2 linked regions of the Lonchura striata genome follow. Each later gene encodes a partner of the first gene's protein in a complex. Links are inferred from orthologs where the notes say so. Each region holds a gene or a part of one and is shown in the gene's direction. Other genes may lie near its edges.

Region 1 (10,182 bases):
TTATAATTTCATTTGCTTCAGGAGTTTCAAACAAAGATAAGTAGAGTAACCAAACAAGTGATATAAAAACTCTAATTACTTATCTAGAAATATCTATTGTGTCCTTAGTTGTCCAAATTAAAACAGAAGATCAGTAGAATAATCAATGCCTTTGAAAAGTTTATTTTTAAAAATGGAAATTTTTTCTTTACCTCAAAAAGTATACAAAATATTAACTAAACCTATCAAAAAGCACTAAGATATAAAAACTAACCGCAACAATATGTAATTGTCCACGAGACAAGAATTCACATTATAGTGAATGTAATAGCTGAAGTTAAGAGTGTATCTGTTGCTTTCTGAAATATGTTTGAAATGCAGGTAATATTTAGTTCATCTAAAATACATGAGCTTTACATATAGGGAATACCTAAAATGCATGAGTTTTTTTAGGTTTCACCTAAAATACATGAGGTTTGCATATAGGGAATACCTAAAGAGGTAAGATAAGGTGAACTATTTGACACCTGTAGAGTTATTAAAAGGTATTCTTATTTTAAATGATGACATATACATTACAGAAAAAAAACTGAACTATTAAATTTTGCAAATTTTTCTTTTTGTGTGTAAAAAGCAAAAATCTAAAATAGAAATAGAGTGCTAAGACTGTATTTTCAATAAGTTAAAGAGCTTCCTAAATTCACACTTCCAGAGTAAAAATAGAGTATCAATTAATGTATTTCAGAATAAAGTTCCTAGTTCTAGAAAAAGCCAATGCTTACATATTCTAAAGAAAAAAGAAAAATCAGAAGAATATGATAGGAAACATCATGTACAAAAACTTTGGTCATAGATAGGAAATTTGCTTAAGGAAAGGAAGAATCGTACAAGCTATAAAACATACCCACTGGAGATAGTATTGGACCTATGGGCTCATTGTTCACCATTGTTTTAAATGTGCATAAAAACTGTGCACTGCCCTGCAACATCATCCCCCCCCCCCCCACCCCCCCCCAGTTCTCACCTTGGCTGCTCTTTCTCTCCTTTATTAGCACAAATATTTTTAAAATATTATTATTCAGCCTATAACTACCAGTGCCAAGGATTTTTTTTTAAATAAATGCGTTTGGATTGAAAGTCTCTTTATTCAAGACAGCTGCACAGCGCATACAAAACACGAAATTAGCCACACCCTGCTTCCCCAGTGCCAAAGGGTCCTAGTGCTTCAGCAGGATCCCTGTTTTACAGGGTAAGCTTTGGGTCAAGAGGGAAGCTGGGTGTATAGTGCACAGGTAGAGAGATCAAGGAGTTGAGATGAGAGGAAGAACTCTAAAAATAAAACAGATTAAAAACACAGACTTGATGACTGACATAGAAACTGTCGCCTCCTTCAGGGACCTTCTATCTGATGAATGCTGTGAAATTCTCCTAGTGACAGGTCAATAAAATGAGGCAGCATTCAGTGGATTACTTGGCCAAGACCTCAGCTACACCAGTTTGCAGACCTCTGTAGAACATGTATGTGCACATGTACATGTGTATGTGTACACATAGATAAATTACACACACAAAATGCCTTGCTCAGAAACTCACATAAAAGCCAGGACAGACAGACAGAGATAGAGTATGCATGTCAAAGGCATCAGTCAATATATTTGCTTGCTGTAGGTATGTATTGCTTGCAGATAATTTTTTTCTTAAGCAAAATAGCAAGCATGAACTACAGGCAGTGGAACATATAATGTACATAAAGGAAAAGTAGGCCAGGAAGCTTAGCTGTCAGAAAGTATTGCAACAAAACTGCAGTTCTGCTCACAAAGTATGGTATGATGTGGCATGTTAATGAAAATATGTTTTGTTGGAAACCTGACTGATTTTTCATGAAGTCTCATGCAGACACAATTAATTAAAACACAGAGTTGCAAATACTTTCTGAATGTTTGTCAAAATTATGGCATATTCTGAAACATATAAATGAAGTAAATTCCTCATAAAGGTATAGCACATGGTTATAGTAGACAAAGGGAAGACCATGATTAAAATTCAGAACCAAGAAGTCAAGCAGGTATTGCATAGTGAAATTAATCTTTGTCACCCTACACTGTAGCTGCTTACTACTATTTGGTTTTTTGTAATTTTTTCAAAGTTGTTTCTGTTTCTATGCCTGAAAGGACCACAGTTAACATACATTAACAAGTCCATACTGCGGAAGCATTTCCTGTTCTGTGATGGTATTTCTAATATATGTATCTTCCTTTTCATTAAGGCAGAGATAAGTGTTTTTACACAAAAGACATACTAAAAATTTCAGTTTTCTTTTTCTCAGAAGTATGACTTCCTTGTGATTCACATCAGTAAGATTCTACAGTAGAAAATAAGTATTTTACCTCTTAAATTGCCATGAAAAAATGCCATCATACTTGGGGATTTGAGATGCCACCAACCTCAGACTTTGAAAATACAGATTATGAGTGAGTCAGCTGTTTCTAATTTTATGGATTTCTTTGGAACAGATTGTTTGACAACTTGCATTTTAACATTTCTGAGAGGCTTTTGATTATGATGGCAATTTTACAGTTTTCCATATTTCATGATCCTGAATTATATACAAGGTAGAGATTTGCTCATGTGTCACGGTATGTATCCAAATATATTACATCCTGTTACTATTGTATGAGCAACAGAATTTTTTTGTCACCTTACCTGGCCAATTTGTAGTTCTACACCATTGCACATTGCCATCATTACACTTACTTTAATGTTCCACAGGCACATTACATGCTCTAACAGTTTCCTAGGCTATGTTTAGCAAAAGATGAATTCTGAATCTTGAAGAACAATAGCCCTAAGTAATTTATCTCTTTTATTTCACATTATATGATGAGTAGCATCAATAAAACTTGTATCTCCTTGCCAGTATTGCTGGTGTTTTGAGATCATCAGCAGTGGAGACTTATGCTAGAGAATTTTCATAGATGTTGATTCCTGACGTGTGTACTCCTGCCTTATCTGTTCTGCACTTTTTAGTGGGCCTGTTCTGTTCCTTGCACTTTCCTCATCTTTATTTGAAAATAATTTCTTCATTCATTTGGGTTTTTTCTGTAATTTAAAATTATTTTAACCTTGGAGCAATCTACCATTGAGCTATATAAATTAGCACAGAACTGATGCAAAGGAATTTCTTATCAAAAGCAATGTATTTTTCACTGACTGGATAAAGATGCAGTTTGGAAAAAATCTTCTGAACAACTCACACACAGTCTACACTTGAGAATCTTGGTTTTATTTTGTCCCATCTTATCTTCCAACCTAAGTTTTCTCCATTATCTTATCCTAACGAACTGTTTGAAAGGCTTAGGTTGTTCTTTCATTGGTGAAGAAATCAAATCCTATATTTTCCAAAGAGCTTGGTACTGCATCATCCAGGAGAAGACTCCATAGCAGTTTATTAATTTCAGAAGAAATTTGGTTATTTTTCCTTGCCTTGATTGTCAGTCTGTGACAGAAATCCCTGAGTGATCATACCAGTATAAAAGCCTACTGAAGATGGTAATGACCATCAGATGACAGCAGCAGAATTCAGGACAAATAATTTTCCCTCTCATGTTTTAAACCCCATCAAATATTTCCTATGTCTTATAAACTTCTTAAAATAGGTGTTGCATCTTTTGCTGATAGGTTTCTAAATCCATTAATGATATCTTTGTCTGGAGTTGCAAACCACGAGTAGAAATTGATAGCATAACCATCAGCTACGTAACATAAATTTGTAGGATCAACATGTTGAGTAGCTTATCTCAAAGATAAACTGGAGTGATCTTGTCACTAATTTGACTATATCTTAGCATGCACTTTGATATGGTAAGTATGACCCAATTTTCTTCAATAATGAATAATGTATTGCATTAATCACTCTTTCCATTCCCTTCTGCCAGGCTCTGAAATCTTACAAAGAGTGAAGTGCACCATCCAGCTTTATTGACAATGGCAAGCTTCTCATATTGCTGTAATGTAAGGATGGCTGTAGGATGATTTGGCTGGACCAAAATTCTACCAACCCACCCATCTTTATTCTGCTGACGGCCACTGTAAGCTTCTTTATGCTTAAGAAAATTATTTAACATAAATGTAGGCAACACATACTTAATTATTCTACATGAGTTAACACATGTTATTTATAATGAAAGAAGTATCCTTGAACACCTGCCCTGTCCAAGAAATTGTTCTATTATTTCTGTAATGATAAATAAGCAAATACTTATTTTGTTTTGCTATGAATGGTACTTTCCCAAAGGAAAAGTGTCCATAACTGCAGCCAAGACTCTTGTTTGCTGTAGACTTTCTCCAAGTGTAACTTGTTCGGCCCTTTGCCATGATGATCTAGTAATCTGGATTTGCCAGTGTTTCAGAGCCAAAAGGGTGTAAAACTTGGAAGATGAGGATGCCACTGCCTAAACCCAGGGGATTGCTACATTTTAGTGGCATTTGGTAGTTTTATTATATTATTTTTAGGTTTTCCTAGTCTTCTCATCCCCAAACCCTCCATCCTGTAACAGGTGCCCTGTCCTGCCATTGAAGTCACTGATTTTCATAGAAAATTACCTATCTGAATTTACAGACAGGGACACAACACGATATCCTTGAGTGACAAAGTTCAAGATTTTTCTTTTCTTCTTTGCCTTGCTTTAGATGTAAAATCAGTTTAACCTAGGAAAGATTTCAGGATTTCCTAGGGGTCTGGAACTGAAGAGAAGACACACAGGAAATCTACATTTTATGCACAAAGATTTTAAACTGATGTCTAATCAGCGCTGTCAGGAGATGAGACATGGGTATTTGTAGGGCAAAAGACTGAACTTCAAATCCTGTATCTCATTGAAAGGAGAGATCGCTTTGGAGCTATAGGAGACACAAAGTAGAACGGTGCAAGTAAAGGCTGAAGCATCACGTACAGGGAGCGGGGCTGACAAAGGGACCGCGCCAGGCTGTACGAAGTCGCGTTGCGAAGCAAGAAAAAGGGATTGTTGTGTCAGGTGAGAAGGAATAAACCCCATAGCGAAGGCCTGCTGAAATGACCCCGGGCAGAAAAGACACGCAATGCGGAGACATTTGATTGTGTGGCAGCCAGTAACGGCGCGGAACGGCTGCAGCCAGAGCGCAGAAATCCCTCGGCGAGGAGGGCAGGAGCCGTGCGGACACAGGCGCTGGCTGGGCGAGGCAGGGAGGCACCGCAGGGGGCTGCCAGCGGGGCAGGAGAGGCGCCGAACACCCCGGCCCAGGCTGGGCTAACCCTCGGCGGCTCCGAGGAGCGCGGCCCAGCCCGGCTCCCCCTTCGCGCCGGGCGAGAGCGGCCGGGGCGCTACGGCCGCCCTGGGCCGGCCTCCTCCCGCCAGGCGAGTCCCCTCCTCCCCGCTGCCTTCCCGGCGGCGGCGGGGGCGGTCGCGGGCGGCCGAGCCGCTCGGCGCCCGGCAGCGCTGCCCATGGGGGAGTGCGGCGTGCCCCCCCAGGTCCAGCTCTTCCTCCGCGCCTGCGAGCAGGGCGACTGCGAGACCGCCCGACGCCTCCTGGGGCTGCCCGGCGGCGGCGGCCCCGCCGACCCGGCGGCCCCCTCCTCCTCCTCGGGCGGCGCCGAGGAGACGGCGGCGGAGCCCCGCGGCGAAGCGTCGTCCCCGCCGAGCCCCGCCGTGCCCGTGGACTGCACGGACGAGGCCGGCAACACGGGGCTGCAGTTCGCCGCGGCGGGAGGCCACGAGCAGCTGGTGCGGTTCCTGCTGCGGAAGGGCGCCTCGGTGCAGAGCAGGAACCACTACGGGTGGAGCCCCCTCATGCAAGCGGCCAGGTACAGGGGAGAGGGAGGGAGGGATCGGGCCCGATGGGGTCCCAGCTTCGGCCTAGTCGGCGGCAGCCCCGGGGCGGGGATGGGAGGGAGGGCCGCCGGGGCTCTGCCTTCCCCGCCCCCGGGCTGCCGCGGGCGCTCGGCTCCCTCGCCCTGCGGACCCCGGGCCGGGGCAGGACGCCATGTTGGAGGCCGCGGTGGGTTGCGGAGCCCGCGGCTGTCCCGGGGAGCGGAGCGGTCACTCGTCCCGTCCTTGGGGGGGCTGGCCAGCGTAGAACTGGCTAAGTGCTATCCTGGGGCACTGGGAACTATTCATGTTAAGAATGTGGTGTTTACTATTCCTTGGTTAAGCCGGCGCAAAATTGGAGCTAACGTGAACACGAAACACTGCTCTCCTCTGTGACGATAGCTGTATGCACGTAGCCTTACTTAATTTTCTATTTTTCTATTTTTTTCCCGTCTGTATGTGTCTTTCTTACTTGTTGAAAACTACGTCTGACATAAAACATACTGAAGCAAACTGAAACGATTAATTTCACTTGGCTGGCCCTTGTTTGCCTAGGTGGCTTGCTGGAGGATAGGGAAAATCATTACTGAGGGGTTTTAATGACAAACCGGTTGTTTTCTGCATCGGTGACACTGTCCTTTCATAACCCACTGCTGGGCCGTGGGAGGTTCCCGTGTTGCTGATGCTGGTGTTGGTACTTTGTCTTTATTCCTAGGCACACCTTGAGCTCACAGGCGTGTTTTGCAGGGTTGGAGGGCATTGCTGTCCTATAATAACTGAATGCTTAATCAGGAGAATATTTTTTTGTTGTTGTTCTGCTTTTTTTTTTTTTTTTTTGTTGGTTTTGTTGTTTTTTCCATAACATTAAAATATTTGGAAGAAAATAATCTGTTTCAAAGTCAGTATTTCTCTTTTCAATTAATGGCCATAGCAAGTTCCCAGAGGATGAGTCACACAGCCGGTTTCCCAGAAAGAACAAGGAAGACAAAGTTCAACAATTTGGTTATTTTATGAAGGTTTTAAAAAAAGGAAAAAAGTTGTAGAAGCAGTTTTAGATTTTTCCCCCTTAATGAAAACCATATGCTCATTTCCTAAAAACAATAAAGTCAGATATAACCCTCTCACTGATATCAAGAAATTACTGACTGACATTTGAAAAGTACTGTATATATATATATATATATATATATGTATATATATATATATACATATATATATGTATTTATTGTTATATATATATATGTATTTATTGTTGAGAAGCATATAGTAGAAAAGTATGTTTCTCTTTTCTTTTTAATGGATAATCAGAAAAGAAGCCCAGTGTTTGTGCAAAAGTAGGCTTCAGACTTAGGTAACTGTTTAATTTTCTGGCTGTGATTAGCTCTGTTGCAGTTGGACAGGAGGTGGCATGTATGCATAAAATTAACTGTGTGCAGGGGTTGCAGGCTCTACTGAAGTGATGGAGTGAAGGGTGCAGGATAGACCTAAGGAGTACACAGGCTCCAGAGGCTTCCTTCTGCAACTGTGTACTTTCTGGAAGGAAACGAAGGACTCTGGGGCTCGTGGTTGGTAGCATTCTTTGGGGTTTCCTTGACTAAGCTTTGCTTTGTTGTAATATACAAAGGCTGCCTTCAGGGTCAAAAGTTGGGTTGTGCTAGGCACAATGTGCATGAGCATGTAGTAGTGCACGATGCCTGCAACAACAGCATGATGCACACATCTTGTCAAGGTATTATATTTATTAAAATACGGGGTTGCCATTTTTTCACTGATAATCTGGCTGGTTGGGTGTGTGGCTTACATGATTGCCTTTTGCTTACTGACAAACTAGCAGAGCCTCTGATAAGTCAAGTGATTTCAAAACTAGGTAAAACTGGTGTGTTCAGTAGTCTGACCAAGTTCTTGTAGATATTCCACACAAGGAGGGTTTGGTGCCAAATTTCCATATTGGAAGATACGTAACATTACACAGGGTTTTAATTTAATTTAACCTTGTAATACAGCAGTCTCCTGAAATCATAGCACAAGCCTGACATAACAACTGCAACAGATAGTCAATCACATCACGGCACACCCATTACCATTCCCTATATGCTCATCTTCACAATGCTGGAAGGAATGGGTTAAAAACCACAAGACTGTTGAGGAGGATTGTAAATCACTTAAGTGACCTTGCAGCCAGGAATAATTCTAGATAACATTGTATGAACTGCAATCCAGTGGTTCTTTAGCACTAACTGGTAATAGTACTTGCTTGGCTACTTCTGTATCTCTGCCTGTGTGTTGCTTTGGGGATCCCCAGGTTCACGAGGTAACAAATAAATTTACTCTTTGCCTTCTATCTGAGTGAGTTTGTGGTTGTTCTGGCTTCCTGCTTGTGTCAACTTGTGCACTGGGTATCTCCTGTTATCAGGAAGCAATATGTGGCTGGAAGCCAAGTCAAGCACCTTACTTTCTTAAAATTTATCTTCTAGTTCCTCAGTTTTGGTGTTCATCTGAACTGTGTAGATGCTTTCCCCATGCTGGTCTGTCTGACTGAGGAGCAGAATAATTTCCATTGATTGTTTTAGGGAAGGCCATTCACATGGCCAGTTGTCCCACTCTGTTGGTAAGCCATTTCTCTTAGAGATCTCCTCTGGTCCCCTTGGTGTTGAGGGAAGTTCAGCTAACTTTACAACAGTGATGGCCACTCACAACGTGAGTCTACATTTGGTGTCATTCCTGCAGGGCAAGCTTCCCTGAGCTTCCTGGGTACGTCTGTATTCACTGAGTCTTCTTCCATTGTGGGAGTTCATTGGTGGCTCACAACTGCAAAACAAGGGATAATGCAAATATAAGACTGACTCTCCAGTTGATAAAATAGTCTTTTTCTTCCTTAGTTAGCAGTTGTTCAATAGCAATGAAGATACTTAATAAAGATCCTTGGAAACAAGCTGGCTTTGATCCGCTAATGTGATACAGCTGTGGAAATAAGAGGATGAAAGCGACACTCTGGTTTGTGGAAGTTATGAGTTGGTGCCCTGCAGCAGAAAATGAGGCTGGCACTTTTCTGCTTTGAGCAGACCATCCTCTTCAGTAGGTGCCTGCTTTATGAACATGGTCACTGGTGCATGTGGAATGGTTTAGTTTACAGTCCTTAGCTGATGATTGGTCTCCTCCATCAAGGTGCCCATTGTCACATTCAGAGATGTTTGTGTGATCCCCCACAGTGTGCATATTAGTCAATAGGCAAAGTTGGTAACAAAGTTTTCTAGGTTCAGAGTATGTTGGATTTTGCAATCCAAGGTGTTAATTCTCCTCTGTATCTCTTTCTCCCAAGGTTTGGACATCTAAGCGTGGCCCACATCTTGTTGGAGAATGGTGCTGATCTCAATGCACAGAACAAGTTAGGGGCCAATGTTCTCACAATGGCCTCCAGAGGTGGTCATGTCAGCATGGTGAAACTGTTGCTGGAATCCGGAGCTTTTGTGGACAATTACGACCATTTTAGCACAAATGTACTTAACAGCAGCAGAGATGACCTTCCTGATATCACTCCGCTGATGGCAGCTGCTCAGCATGGACATGAGGCAGTGGTACATCTGTTGCTAGACTGGGGAGCTGATTGTAACTACACTCTAAAGACAATGGGCTGGAGTCCTTTAATGCTGGCAGCTGGCAGTGGAAAGGTGAGCTTGGCACAGCAGCTCATGGAGAAAGGTGCCAATCCTGATCACTTGAATGTACTACATAAAACACCTTTAGAAATCTCTGTTGGCTTCAAACACAAAGACATGAAGGACTATTTGGAATCTCTTACAACCATTAGGCCTCAAGCAGGTATGGAATGTTATGTTTTTGTTTCACTTCAGAAATTGAGGAGCTTATTTTGTATGGGCATGATGTTCTTTGTAGTTTGCAGCTGGATTTTGAAAATGCTGGAGTAGGCACACCTACTTCAGCTGAGGTACGAGTGCCCAACTTCAGCAGATTTTTTTCATGTTAGCAGGATAAGATGTCTGTATGTGGCTCTTTTGGGGACACTTTTCAAGGTATTTATGCAAACCAGCACTGGGAAGTGTAGAACAAGAGGTTCTACACTTTGGAAGAGCTGGATTTTCCAGCTTTGTACTGCTTGCTATAAAATATAAGGATTGGCTAGCTCTAGAAAGATCATTTTCCACTGCCATATGGACATGTCCAAAACCGTTGTCTACGTTTGGTGTCTTTCCTGCAGGGCAAGCTTCCCTTGTACTTGAAGAAGTAAGAACAAAAATCAGACATCTGTTTCTGCTGTAGAGAAGGTGTTAACTCACATATAGGTTAAGTTGGAATTCTAGAGCTTTCATACAGCCATGCTGCCAGGCAGAACTGATTCGTT
Region 2 (10,745 bases), on another chromosome or scaffold:
TTTCCTGAAAGTCAAAACTTTCCAGGTCTCTGTTCCAGATCTCCCATGGAAGTCTTTCTGTCTCCTGGATTTGCTACAGGTAGAGAAAGCACAAACATAGAGAAAGTCAATCTCCCTGAGCTTTGGAAGTGTATAAAAAACCAAAACAGAGTGATTGGAAGGCAACAGCTCCAACTCAGACACCATATGGAAACAACCCACACCACGTCCCTCATGGAAAACAGTGAGATTGTTTACTTTCCAGAAACTTTGATTTCAGGAACTGCTAAACATCCTTTAAATTACTTTTTCTTATATGTGCTCATTATTCAAACCCAAACCATTCTGTGATTTCATGGATTTATCTTTGTTGAAGGAACAATGTGATTTTATCCCAGAAAAGCTGTTCAAAGAGTAAACTTCATACTTTTCCTCTTTCCTGCACTGTCCTAATTAATTTTCTGGACACATAAAATGATTGCACAGGAATTAGTGCACAGGAAAAATTAATGCACAGGAAAGAAAAACAGTAAAGGGACAATAAAAGCTGCCAAGAGATGGGACAAAAAAAATCCAAAATCTCAAGAACAGAGAAAACTTTAAAGGGCCAATGCAAAAAGAGAAAAAAAGTTATATTTTCTAGTGAGAGAAAATACTGAGGACTAAGTTTTTCCTGTTCAGACAAATAGGTCAGACATCAGCAGCTGTCCACACTGGGGACAGCCAGAAGAGAGGGGTGACAGGACAGCCCACACACAACAGTCCCAACCTGCTCCTGGGAGTCTTCCAGGGAAAACATCATCAGCTCTTCCGACAGGTCCGGAATTAAGTTGGGCAGGTCCCGCTGGTAGATGAAAAGCTCCTCATCACTCTCACAATCAGACTGCAAACAGAATAAAACAGAGAAATTAAACAGGAGACTGCAATACTCACTGATATTGGAATATCTGGTTTGAAGTGACAGCTCCCATGTTGGCACCTCTTGAAGTGCAGAGACAAGAAGTTTCCTTGCAGTCGCACCTTTACTAGACAGTCTGGTAGCCCAAGAGTCACCAACCTCACATTTCAGCAAGTTACAAATGTAAAAACATGTAAAACATCAAATTCCCATGGAGGTTAATGACAAACCTCCTGCTGAGAAAAGCAAAGGAAAGTGTGGGAAGTTCTCTAACTCCCAAGTGATTCTCTGCACTACCTCATTCACCATCAGAGAGGCAAGAGCATAGCTGCTCAATATTTACAAGGGCCTGGAGTGCCAGGACAAGGGGAAATGGCTTCCCACTGCCAGAGGGCAGAGATGGATGGGATATTGGAAAGGAATTGTTCCATGGGAGGGTGGGCAGGCCCTGGCACAGGGTGCCCAGAGCAGCTGTGGCTGCCCCTGGATTACTGACAGTGTCCAAGGCTAGGCTGGATGGGGTTTGGAGGAGCCTGGGATGGTGGAAGGTGTCCCTGCCTATGGCAGGGGTGGAACTCGATGAGCTTTAAGATCCCCCCATCCCAAATCATTCTGGGATTCTCAGGAACTGGAAAGGCAAGGCCTCACTAGGCAAAGCCCAGTCCCACAGAACCCAAAAGGAACAAGCAGAACAGAGCAGGGGGATCTACCAGGCTGAGGCACAACTCCAGATCCTTGGGCAATATTGGAGTGATGAGGCTGGTCAGAGATCAAAACTGAAAGTCAATTCACAGGTGAAAGTCTGGCTCAGGCAGGATCATAACTAGAAAACCAAAACTTCCCTAACATAGCTCAGAGAAGGAGTGAAGGGCCAGAGCTGAGCTTAAATAGAGCTGCTGGAGCCCCAGGTGAGGCCAGGCAGGGCCATGAAGGCTTTTCACTGCCCTCAAGAGCCTGATTCCTGTTCAGAATGCAAACAGCGTCTGTGTTTGGTCAGGCAGCATTTAGATAGCTCTGACAATCCCTTTTTTAAACATCAGATATGCATTGGAGATGAATCCTTATGCATGGACACCAAAAGGAGATTAAGCAGCTCCTCAGCAGTCAGGACACAGCTTTCCTGCTTGTCCCTTTGTTTTGCAAGTATGCATTTTTGGAATTCACACTGCAGAGAATCCACTCTGGTGTCATTAACACAAAACCAACTGCATCAGAACATCTTTCCTCTTAATAAATTGCATATCAGGGTAATGAAAGGGCTTCAGGGCATAAAACACATTTGTGAGTGCCATTTTTGGAGGTGGGAACAGAGCACGTTCAGGTGACAGCTCGCAATCTTTCCCACGTGGAAATTCCTCGGACAAAGGTGCAGCCCTGGAACTGCAGCCTCAGCAGGACAGGGATTACACAACCAGATCTTTTGAATACAAATGAAGTGCCAGACAGATTGCCTCAGTTCCTTCTGCAGGAAATCTTTTCCATGTGGGATAGAAACAGAGAATTTGGAGATTGTAAAGAGTGAAAAAAATGTTCAGCACGATTTGGGGTTCTTCAATGGTGTTTGGCACCAAAATTTGGAGCTGCTTAGCCTGGTTGTAATTTACTCAACAAGTAAACCTATAAATAATTTCAGTGTTGGGCTTTCATCTGTACTACAGAGGCACATGTTAAAAGGCAAGGGTTGTTCTAAATAATTATAACGGTGTAGGTAGAGGGAACTGAGAACAGTGTGGGAATGTGATTTGTCCATCATGACAGTGAAAGATGTAAGTGCAGAATCCAAGTCATGGAATCCCATCAACACTTTATCCAGCAGATCACACTGCTTTGGATCATTGGTAAATAATAAATACCCACTGGAGGCATTTCTGGCTCTTTCACATCTCACAATCTTCCCCTGCACCATTAATGTCTACACTAAGTTGGGATAAAATATATTCTTTGTGTGTTCAAAATGTTTTTCAAGTTTATACATGTTTGAAAATTAACACGATGTTCTGATTTGGACAAAATGCCACTAATAATCAAATCTTGAGACACATTATCCCCTCAGAAAAGTCGATGCCAGAGCATTTTGGACTAGAGAAGAGCACCAGAGCAATGCTGTCCTGTGAACAGAGATTTCAGCAGCCAAGAACAGCCTGGCCCAGACCCAGCAAGCAAAAACCTGTACCAGTTAAGAACTCTGCACAACACCTCTCAGTCTCACACTTCATATGAAAAGGTTTCTGCAATTATGCTTCTTTGGCAGGTAAAAAGCACAAAAAAGCAACATGTCTTGTGGAGAACCAGCCTCAAGTACATAATAATCTGTGATATCATGGAATACCAAGATGGTTTGGGTTGGGAGGGACTGCAAAACCCATTCAGATCCACCCCTGCCATATCCAGGGACACCTTCCACAGTCCCAGGCTGCTCCAAGCCCTGTCCAGCCTGGCCTTGGGCACTGCCAGGGATCCAGGAGCAGCCACAGCTGCTCTGGGCACCCTGTGCCAGGGCCTGCCCACCCTGCCAGGGAACAATTCCTTCCCAATATCCCATCCATCCCTGCCCTCTGGCAGTGGGAGCCATTCCCTGTGTCCTGTCCCTCCATCCCCTGTGCCCAGTCCCTCTCCAGCTCTCCTGGAGCCCCCTCAGGAACTGGAAGGCCACAATGAGATCACCCCAAAGCTTCTCTTTTCCAGGCTGAACAATCCCAGTTGTCCCAGCGTGGCTCCCAGCAGAGCTGTTCCATCCGTCTGCTCATCCTGGAGCCTCCTCTGGATTTGCTCCAGCAGCTCCAAGTCTGTGCTGGGCCTCAGGGCTGGAGGCAGCTCTGCAGATGGGGCAGAATCCAAAGAATACTGGGAGAGGAGGTGGCAATTACACTTGGGTAATTAAGGATAATCCAGAAGGCTGTGGATTAACACACAGTGTTCTGTAGTGAGGACAGGCAGCCCACCCAGGATACCACACCAGCCACCCCAAAATGCCTGATAAGGTCACCTGCTCTTGCTTTTGAGAGTTTTTTCCCACAAGCCAGAGGGATTTTCAATGCTTACTGTGGAGGAGTCGGAGTCCAGGGATGGGAGCTGGTCTTTCACTGCAGCAAGGAAGGTTCCCCACTGGAATGTCCTGTTCCCCTGCACAGGAGCTGCAGGAGGCTCAGCTGCATGTTCTGCATCCTCACTTTGTGCTTCTGAGGCCATTGGAACAGCTTCCCTTCAAGCAAAGGAAAGATGAGCCTAAGGACAGCTCTCCAAACATGAGATAACATCAGTTCAAAACAAGGACAAGGTGTGTGTGGCCAGAGAGTGTGTGTGGCCAGAGCAGAGAATTCCCAGCACTCCCAGCAGGAAATGTTAAAATCTGCATTTCTGGAGCTATTCCTTTCCATCCGAGTTCAGAAATGGCTAAGAGCTTTCTGCCCTACTCACTACAAACATCCCAGGGGCAGTTTAACCCCTCATTTATAAGGAATTTTGTTTTGATTCTCAGCCAGAGTGCTGTAACTGTGTCCTCTGCAAGCCTGTTCCCGTGTTCTGCCTGCAGGGATGGGACAGGAACACAACAAAGGCAGGCTGACACCTCTGCTCTCAGCTGGATTGACTCCTCTTCCCAATTTCCCTCACATTCCCCTCCTCCCTACTCAGAAGATAGATAAAATGATCACAAAGTCATGGAATCTCATAATGGTTTGGATTGGAATGGAGCTTAAAGACTCTCTTGTTCTACCCACCTGCCATGGGCAGAGAACCTTCCATGTGATTCATGTTTACTTTTGTTTTCACTGGACTTTTATTTTTAAAAACAGTAAAGAATAGGCACATTCATGGATTTTGACCACTCAAAGTGTTTATAAAGTGGACTCTTTCCTCCTGTTCCTTGATGTCCATGAGAAGCTGAGACAACACAGTAGGAACTGCAGCTGCACTAAGAGGTCAGATCATTCACCCTCACAGAAAAACTTTACATTTTATACTACAATCACATGGTGTTCTGGGCAGTCAAACATGAGAGGAAATGATTTCTGGTTCAGAGGTGTCACAGAATATCCAGGGTTGGAAGAGACCCACAAGGACCATGGCAGGTTGGTGACTGTGAGTAACTGACACTGTTATCTGCATTGGCCACGAACACGCCTCAAAAAGTGAAGTTAAACTCAACTATCCCCCTGGGAAGTTTATAACTTTCAAATTGCTTCTGTAGATACTTCATAGGCCTCATCTATAGTGGTTTTGTTGGTGTGAGACAATGCCTGAATTTCACTTAGATAAGAAACAGGGAAATCCTCCTGGCTGGAGCACTGTGCTCTGACACTGAGCAGAACTTGCCAAGGGTCAGAGGAGCCCCATGGGGATAAAACAAACTGCCTAGTGTGGCTCCCTGTGCCAAATTCTGAGATAAACATCCCAAGGTTATAGATGGACACTGGATCTGACTTGTCAGTCAGCTAATGCAGCATCTTCTGTAGGAGCAAACAGTGCTCTGTGTCCAAAACAAACACTTAGCAGTAGCACAACAGTCATTTTCTGTAGAACTTGTGCACGGTAGGGCGAAGGTTGGACTTGATGATCTTGGAGGTCTTTTCCAGCCTTAACGACTCCGTGACTCTGAGACTTGAAACCCTGAGCTTCTCCTTGTCCCCAGAACTGACGTTTGCCGGTTAGGAGAAGCGGTGAGGACAGCCGCAATGGTGGGAGGCAGAGCTTGGCTCCGGCGCTGAGCCCCGCAGCCCCGGGCCGAGCCCCGGGCCAGGGACGGGGCTCGCCTGAGGGGCCCCGCTCACAGCCCCGCAATGGCGGCGCACGCCCACCGTCCCCATGGCAACGCGGCTCCCGGGCCCGGGCCCCGCCCCGCTCCCCTGCCCTCACTCACGGCGCCCACAGCCCCGCTCAGCGCCGGGCGGGCCGGGCCGCGGGCACAGCGAAGCGGCGGCACCGGGACGAGCGCAGGGCCGGGACAGCCGCGGGGCGCTGCTCGGGGCCGCTCCGTGCAACCGCCCGCCACCAGCCCCAACGCCATTGGCTGCCCCGCGCCACGCCCCTCACACGGGCTCCTCCCATTGGCCCGGCGCCGCGGGGGCTCTTGGGTGTTGTAGTTCGCTGCCCGTGAGGGCGGGGGCGCTCCCGGCATGCCTTGCGCTTGGGGACTGGTTCCGGCGGCGGCGCTCACCGGGCGCAGGTGAGGGAGCGGCGGGGCTGGGGCGGGACAGCGGCGAGGAGCGGCGGCGCTCACCCCTGGGGCCGGCCCGGGCACTCCCGGCCTCCCTCCACTGTGCCCGTGGCCGCACTGCTTCCTTCCCGCTCGCTGCAGTCTGCGATGCTGAGGCCGCGTTGCTAGCAGGGCCGCGAGGGAGGCAGGTGCGGGGCTAACGGCCCCGGAGCCGTTTGCTGCGAGATGTTCGGTAACAGCCGCGTGGCGGCCGCTCTGGCAGCCGCTGGGCTCGCCTCAGGTGCGTGGTTGTGTGAGCGGAGCGTGGCCGGGCCGAGCCCTGCGGGGGCCGTGTCCGGCGGCCTGGGCGGGCACAGCCCCCGGCAGGGGAAATGTGCTCCCTGATGTGGCTGCTCGGTGCTTTCGTGCCTCTTGCCTCGCTTTTCTGAGGTTGTTTGATGTGTTTTAATGTGCCCGAGAGTTACAGGCTCGTGGTAGAATCGCTCAGCTTGGAAAGGGCCTTTAAGGTGATTGAGTCTAAGCATTAAAAGATGAAAAGCTTGGTGTGTTTTGTGTATTTTCAACAGATGTGGGTAGGATTGAACTCGAGTGTTGTGAATCCAGGAATGTTTCCTCTCACCCACCTCAGGAACCTGGTGTGGTTCCTGCAGCTGTGAATTGTGCTAGCTGAGTCAGTCAGCGAATGATACTCTGCAAAAATGAGATGTTCTGGTTCCTGTTGTGGCTGAGCTGGTAACAATTGCACCTAAAAAGGGAAGTAATGGGGCCTTTTTAAGTCCCTCTGATAAGTTGTTGCTGGTTTAGTGGAAATAGAGCAAAGTCAGGAGCAGAAGGGGAGTGTGTTCCTGCTCTGTTCTGCTCTGACCTGGTGGGGCCTCACCTCGAGTCCTGGGGGCAACCACAATATCAGAAGGATCTAAAACTGTTGGAGAGTGCCCCAAGGAGGGGCAAGGGGAAGGGTCTGAGGAGCAGCTGAGGGCACTTGGATTGTTCAGCTGGAGAAGGAGACTGAGGGCAGAGCTCTGGGCGGGGGGGGCAGCAGTTCCAATCAGGGAATGGCTGGAGCTGGGTCAGGCTGGATTTTGGGAAAGGTTCTTCCCCCAGAGGTGCTGGGCACTGCCCAGCCTCCCCAGGGAATGGGCACAGCCCCAAGGCTGCCAGAGCTCCAGGAGTGCTTGGACAGCGCTGCCAGGGATGCCCAGGGTGGGATTGCTGGGGTGTCTGTGCAGGCCAGGAGCTGCCCTGGATGATCCCTGGGGGTGCCTTCCCACTCAAAATATTCCATGACTCTCTCATGTCAGTTTGCTGGCTCAGTTGGAACCTCCAGCAGTCTCCACGCTTGTGCTGCCTTAGGTGTCCCTATTTTGGGACAGAAGGACACGTGTGGATGTCACCAGTGCTTGTGGGAGGGGGTGTGACAGAGTGAATTGAGCTGAGCAGTGCCTGCTGAGGGTGATTAACAGCCAGTGTTGCATTTGTTCTGTGTTGGGGGCTGGTTGCTCCTCAAATCTCCTTCCATTTATTGTAGTGTGGCTCTAAGGTGCTTGTTGTGTCAGTTTTCATACTATGTTTATTTTTTTTCTGCCTTCTGGTGTGCTCAAACAGCAAACTCCAAATCCAGGGAAGTGGGGTTTGTTGCCTGCTCTATGCCCCAGCACTGTAGAGCTCTAACCCTGAGAAATAGCTGAGTGCTGATGGATTAAATTTAATATAATAATAACAGCAGCCTTACAGGTGTCATGGCTTGACCCCAGCTGGTTACCAGGTACCAGGCTGCTCCTTTTCCCTGCTCCATCCCAGTGGGATGGGGAGGAGAATCAGAAAAGAAAGTAAAAAACCTCATGGCTTGAGGTAAGAACAACTTAATTATTGAAGCAAAATAATAATACTATAATGATAATTATCACGAGAAAATAAACCCATACGAAACTCAAAAGCAAAAGGATTGCTCAGCACCTGCTGATTCCCATCCCATGTCCAAGCTATGATTGGCCCCTCCCAGGCACATTCCCCAGTTCATATACTGGGAGTGATGCTCTGTGGAATGGAATATCCCTCTGGCCAGTTTGGGTCAGCTCCCCCCTGGCTTCTTGAGCACCTCCTTGTTAGCAGAGCATGGGAAGCTGCAAAGTCCTTGATTTAAGGTAAGCACTGGATAGCAGCAACCAAAGCATCAGTGTGTTATCAGCATTCTTCTCATCCTAAATCCAAAAGCAGCCTGTGCCAGCTGCTGGAAGACAATGAACCCTATCCCAGCTGAAAGCAGGACAGCAGAGCTGAGGGAGGCCTCTAACAAATGTGAACTTCTGCCCCAGAGCAGGGGAACAGCCTGTGAATGTTCTGGAGGTCTTTGTCAAACTTATTCTTAATATTGGGTTCTGTTGTGGCTGCCTCATCCCTGGAAGTGTCCAGGGCCAGGTTGGACAGGACTTGGAGTAACCTGGAATACTGGAAGGTGTCCCTACCCATAGCAGGTGGTGGAACAGGATGGGCTTTGAGGTCCCTTCCAACCCAAACCATCCTGGTATTCTGTGACATGATGCATTATTATGCTTGTGTCACATGTCCCCTCCAGGCTCCTCCTCTTTGCACCAGATAACTCTGATTTTGTTTCATTCAGGTCTTTTCAGTTCAGTTCTGAGAGTTGTGATCACTGTTGTTGTCCTGGAGATTGTGAGCAGCTGTCCTCAGGTGATTGCAGAGCTGACGACTTGCTAAAGTTCAGTGTGAGGAGCTTTAAAAAAATAAAAAGCAAATATGTAGGCAGAGCACAGGAGAGGTGTAGGAGGCTGAATGTCCTGGATGTTCTGTCCTGTCCTTATTGCCCTGCTGACTGTGGATCACCTCACCAAGGCTGCATTGGTAACTTGTACCTGAGAGTGGCTGATTCTGACAAAGACCAGATACTTGAGTGGTTTATAATTAATGTACCCAATTAACATGGAGAGTAGAGAACAATGAGCTAGACTTGCACCTAAATGTACTTCTACAAACTGCCCTGGATTCCACCTCCTTTCACTGCCTTTTGGCCTCCCTGGGGCAGCTTTAATCTGCTTTAGTGAGAAATTCCTACTTTGCCCCTTATGATCCACTTCAATCCACTTAGCTCTCCTTGTGTTTTGATTGTGAGGTGGTCAGGCCCTTCCCTTGTGCTCTGCATATTCCTGTCTGAGGCCTCTGGGTTGCCCAGTGCACTACAAATTCCTGCTGTCAGGCAAAGTAGGTGCTTTTGCAGGTATTTTTAAAGGGAAATAATTTCTTACCAGCTGATGGAATAGAATAGATGGTGCTTTTGTAGTCTTAACAAGCTGAGAATGAAGGAGGGGAAGAAAAGGAAGGTGGGAGAGAAAGGATCCAGGTGGGGAGTGAAGAGGTAGGAATGAAAGGTGTTTTCTTATAAGAAAAGGGGATGGTGCTTGCAAGGCAAATATTCCCAGTTGCTCAGAAAACAGGACTATGGTCTTGAAGTGTTACAGCTGAGGAGCAGCTGCTGCTGAAAAACCTGTTCCTGCTCTCTTTTATTCCTCACCAGTGCCACATTTGGCATTTGCCTGACCCCAACATGAATCCAAGGAGTTAAATTGGTGAGAAGTTACCAGGAAGAAGAAGGACTTTATGTTGTCTTACCTTATGTAGAGGGACCAGGCAAACCCCAGGAGAGCTGTATGGTGGGCAGTGAGACTACAGGGAGGGAAAAGCAATTCCCATGGGATTGCCTGGAACAAGCTGCCCAGAGAGGCTGTGGATCTCCTTCCCTGGATATATCCAGAGCCCACCTGGACACAGCCCTGTGTCAGGTGCTCAGAGGGCCCTGCTTGAGCAGGGAGGTTGGGTGAGGTGACACCCAGTGGTCACTTGCAACCCGAACCACTCTGGGGTTCTGTGCTGGGGGCTGGATTCTGTGTCCTGGAGCTGCAGCTGAAGCCCTCAGCTGCTGGATACAGCTGTGCTGGGCTCTTCATGGAGTGAAGAAGAACACTCCTGTGGGAGGTTCAAATGATCAGTCTGCAGTTGCTCCCCAAGGCTGGGACTGGGATAAACCTTTCAGGCAGTCCTGGAGCTGGAGGAGCTGTGTAATTAAGGAGGGGGGGTGTGCTTGGATAATGCATGGGTAGGTGCACTGCTGCCCCCAGTGTTTCAGCATTTTCCAGGATTCACTGAGATGAGGCTGGGCTGCCTCTGAAGGGCTGAAACAATAAGTGGTAGAAACAATCTACTTACAACCTGATGACAGTGGAGGGTACACCCTCTTCAGGTGACAGAGTGTTTTGGGAGCAGTGGGCAGTTGTCATTATTAATGACTGTGTCTTAATTTAATCAGGACCATCCTATAATGCAAGACAGATGGACAAGACCAGCAATGTCTGACATATGAATTCTTAATTCTCTCCCTGCATTATAAAACATGCAGAGCAAGAATTACATCCTTTTGTAAAACACTAAGCCTACCTTCAGCTCTTAAATAGATGTTTAGTCTTCTCTTGCCGAGGTTATTTAAAGCTGCCTTAGACATATTTGGATTAGGCAGGGAGGAAATAAAGCTGCTGCTTCTGCAGTCTTAAAATGAGATTTGAAAGATGTGGGGTTTAGCATTATTGACTTTTATTTTTCCAGTGTATTGGAATCCCAGAGTTCTCTACAGCAAGAGAAAACTTCCAGCAAAGTCTTTTCAGCAGCAGTTGGTTTTTCGGGGTGAGGAGTCAATCAAAGTTG

The links.
Region 2: the proteins of ANKS6 (region 1) and ANKS3 are in contact, whole or in part, in a crystal structure (PDB 4NL9), measured with the Homo sapiens proteins. The link is inferred for Lonchura striata from reciprocal best matches to the Homo sapiens genes ANKS6 and ANKS3. Residues at the interface, in NP_775822.3 of Homo sapiens: Glu796, Gln797, Glu798, Val799, Asp800, Glu802, Ala803, Thr806, Leu807, Asp811, Glu814, Leu815; in NP_597707.1 of Homo sapiens: Lys441, Tyr442, Thr470, Leu471, Phe472, Gly473, Pro474, Arg476, Lys477, Arg484.

The regions. Positions count from the first base shown.
Region 1 is NC_134603.1:62,337,245-62,347,426, forward strand, and holds the start of ANKS6 (ankyrin repeat and SAM domain-containing protein 6), read left to right. Parts: upstream 1-5,459; coding exon 5,460-5,818; intron 5,819-9,141; coding exon 9,142-9,641; intron 9,642-10,182.
Region 2 is NC_134618.1:3,518,872-3,529,616, forward strand, and holds the start of ANKS3 (ankyrin repeat and SAM domain-containing protein 3), read left to right. Parts: upstream 1-6,003; 5' UTR 6,004-6,041; intron 6,042-10,646; 5' UTR 10,647-10,745. Other genes in the region: DNAAF8 (dynein axonemal assembly factor 8), read right to left, coding at 1-64, 749-862, 3,920-4,066. UniProt on the Homo sapiens protein: May be involved in vasopressin signaling in the kidney.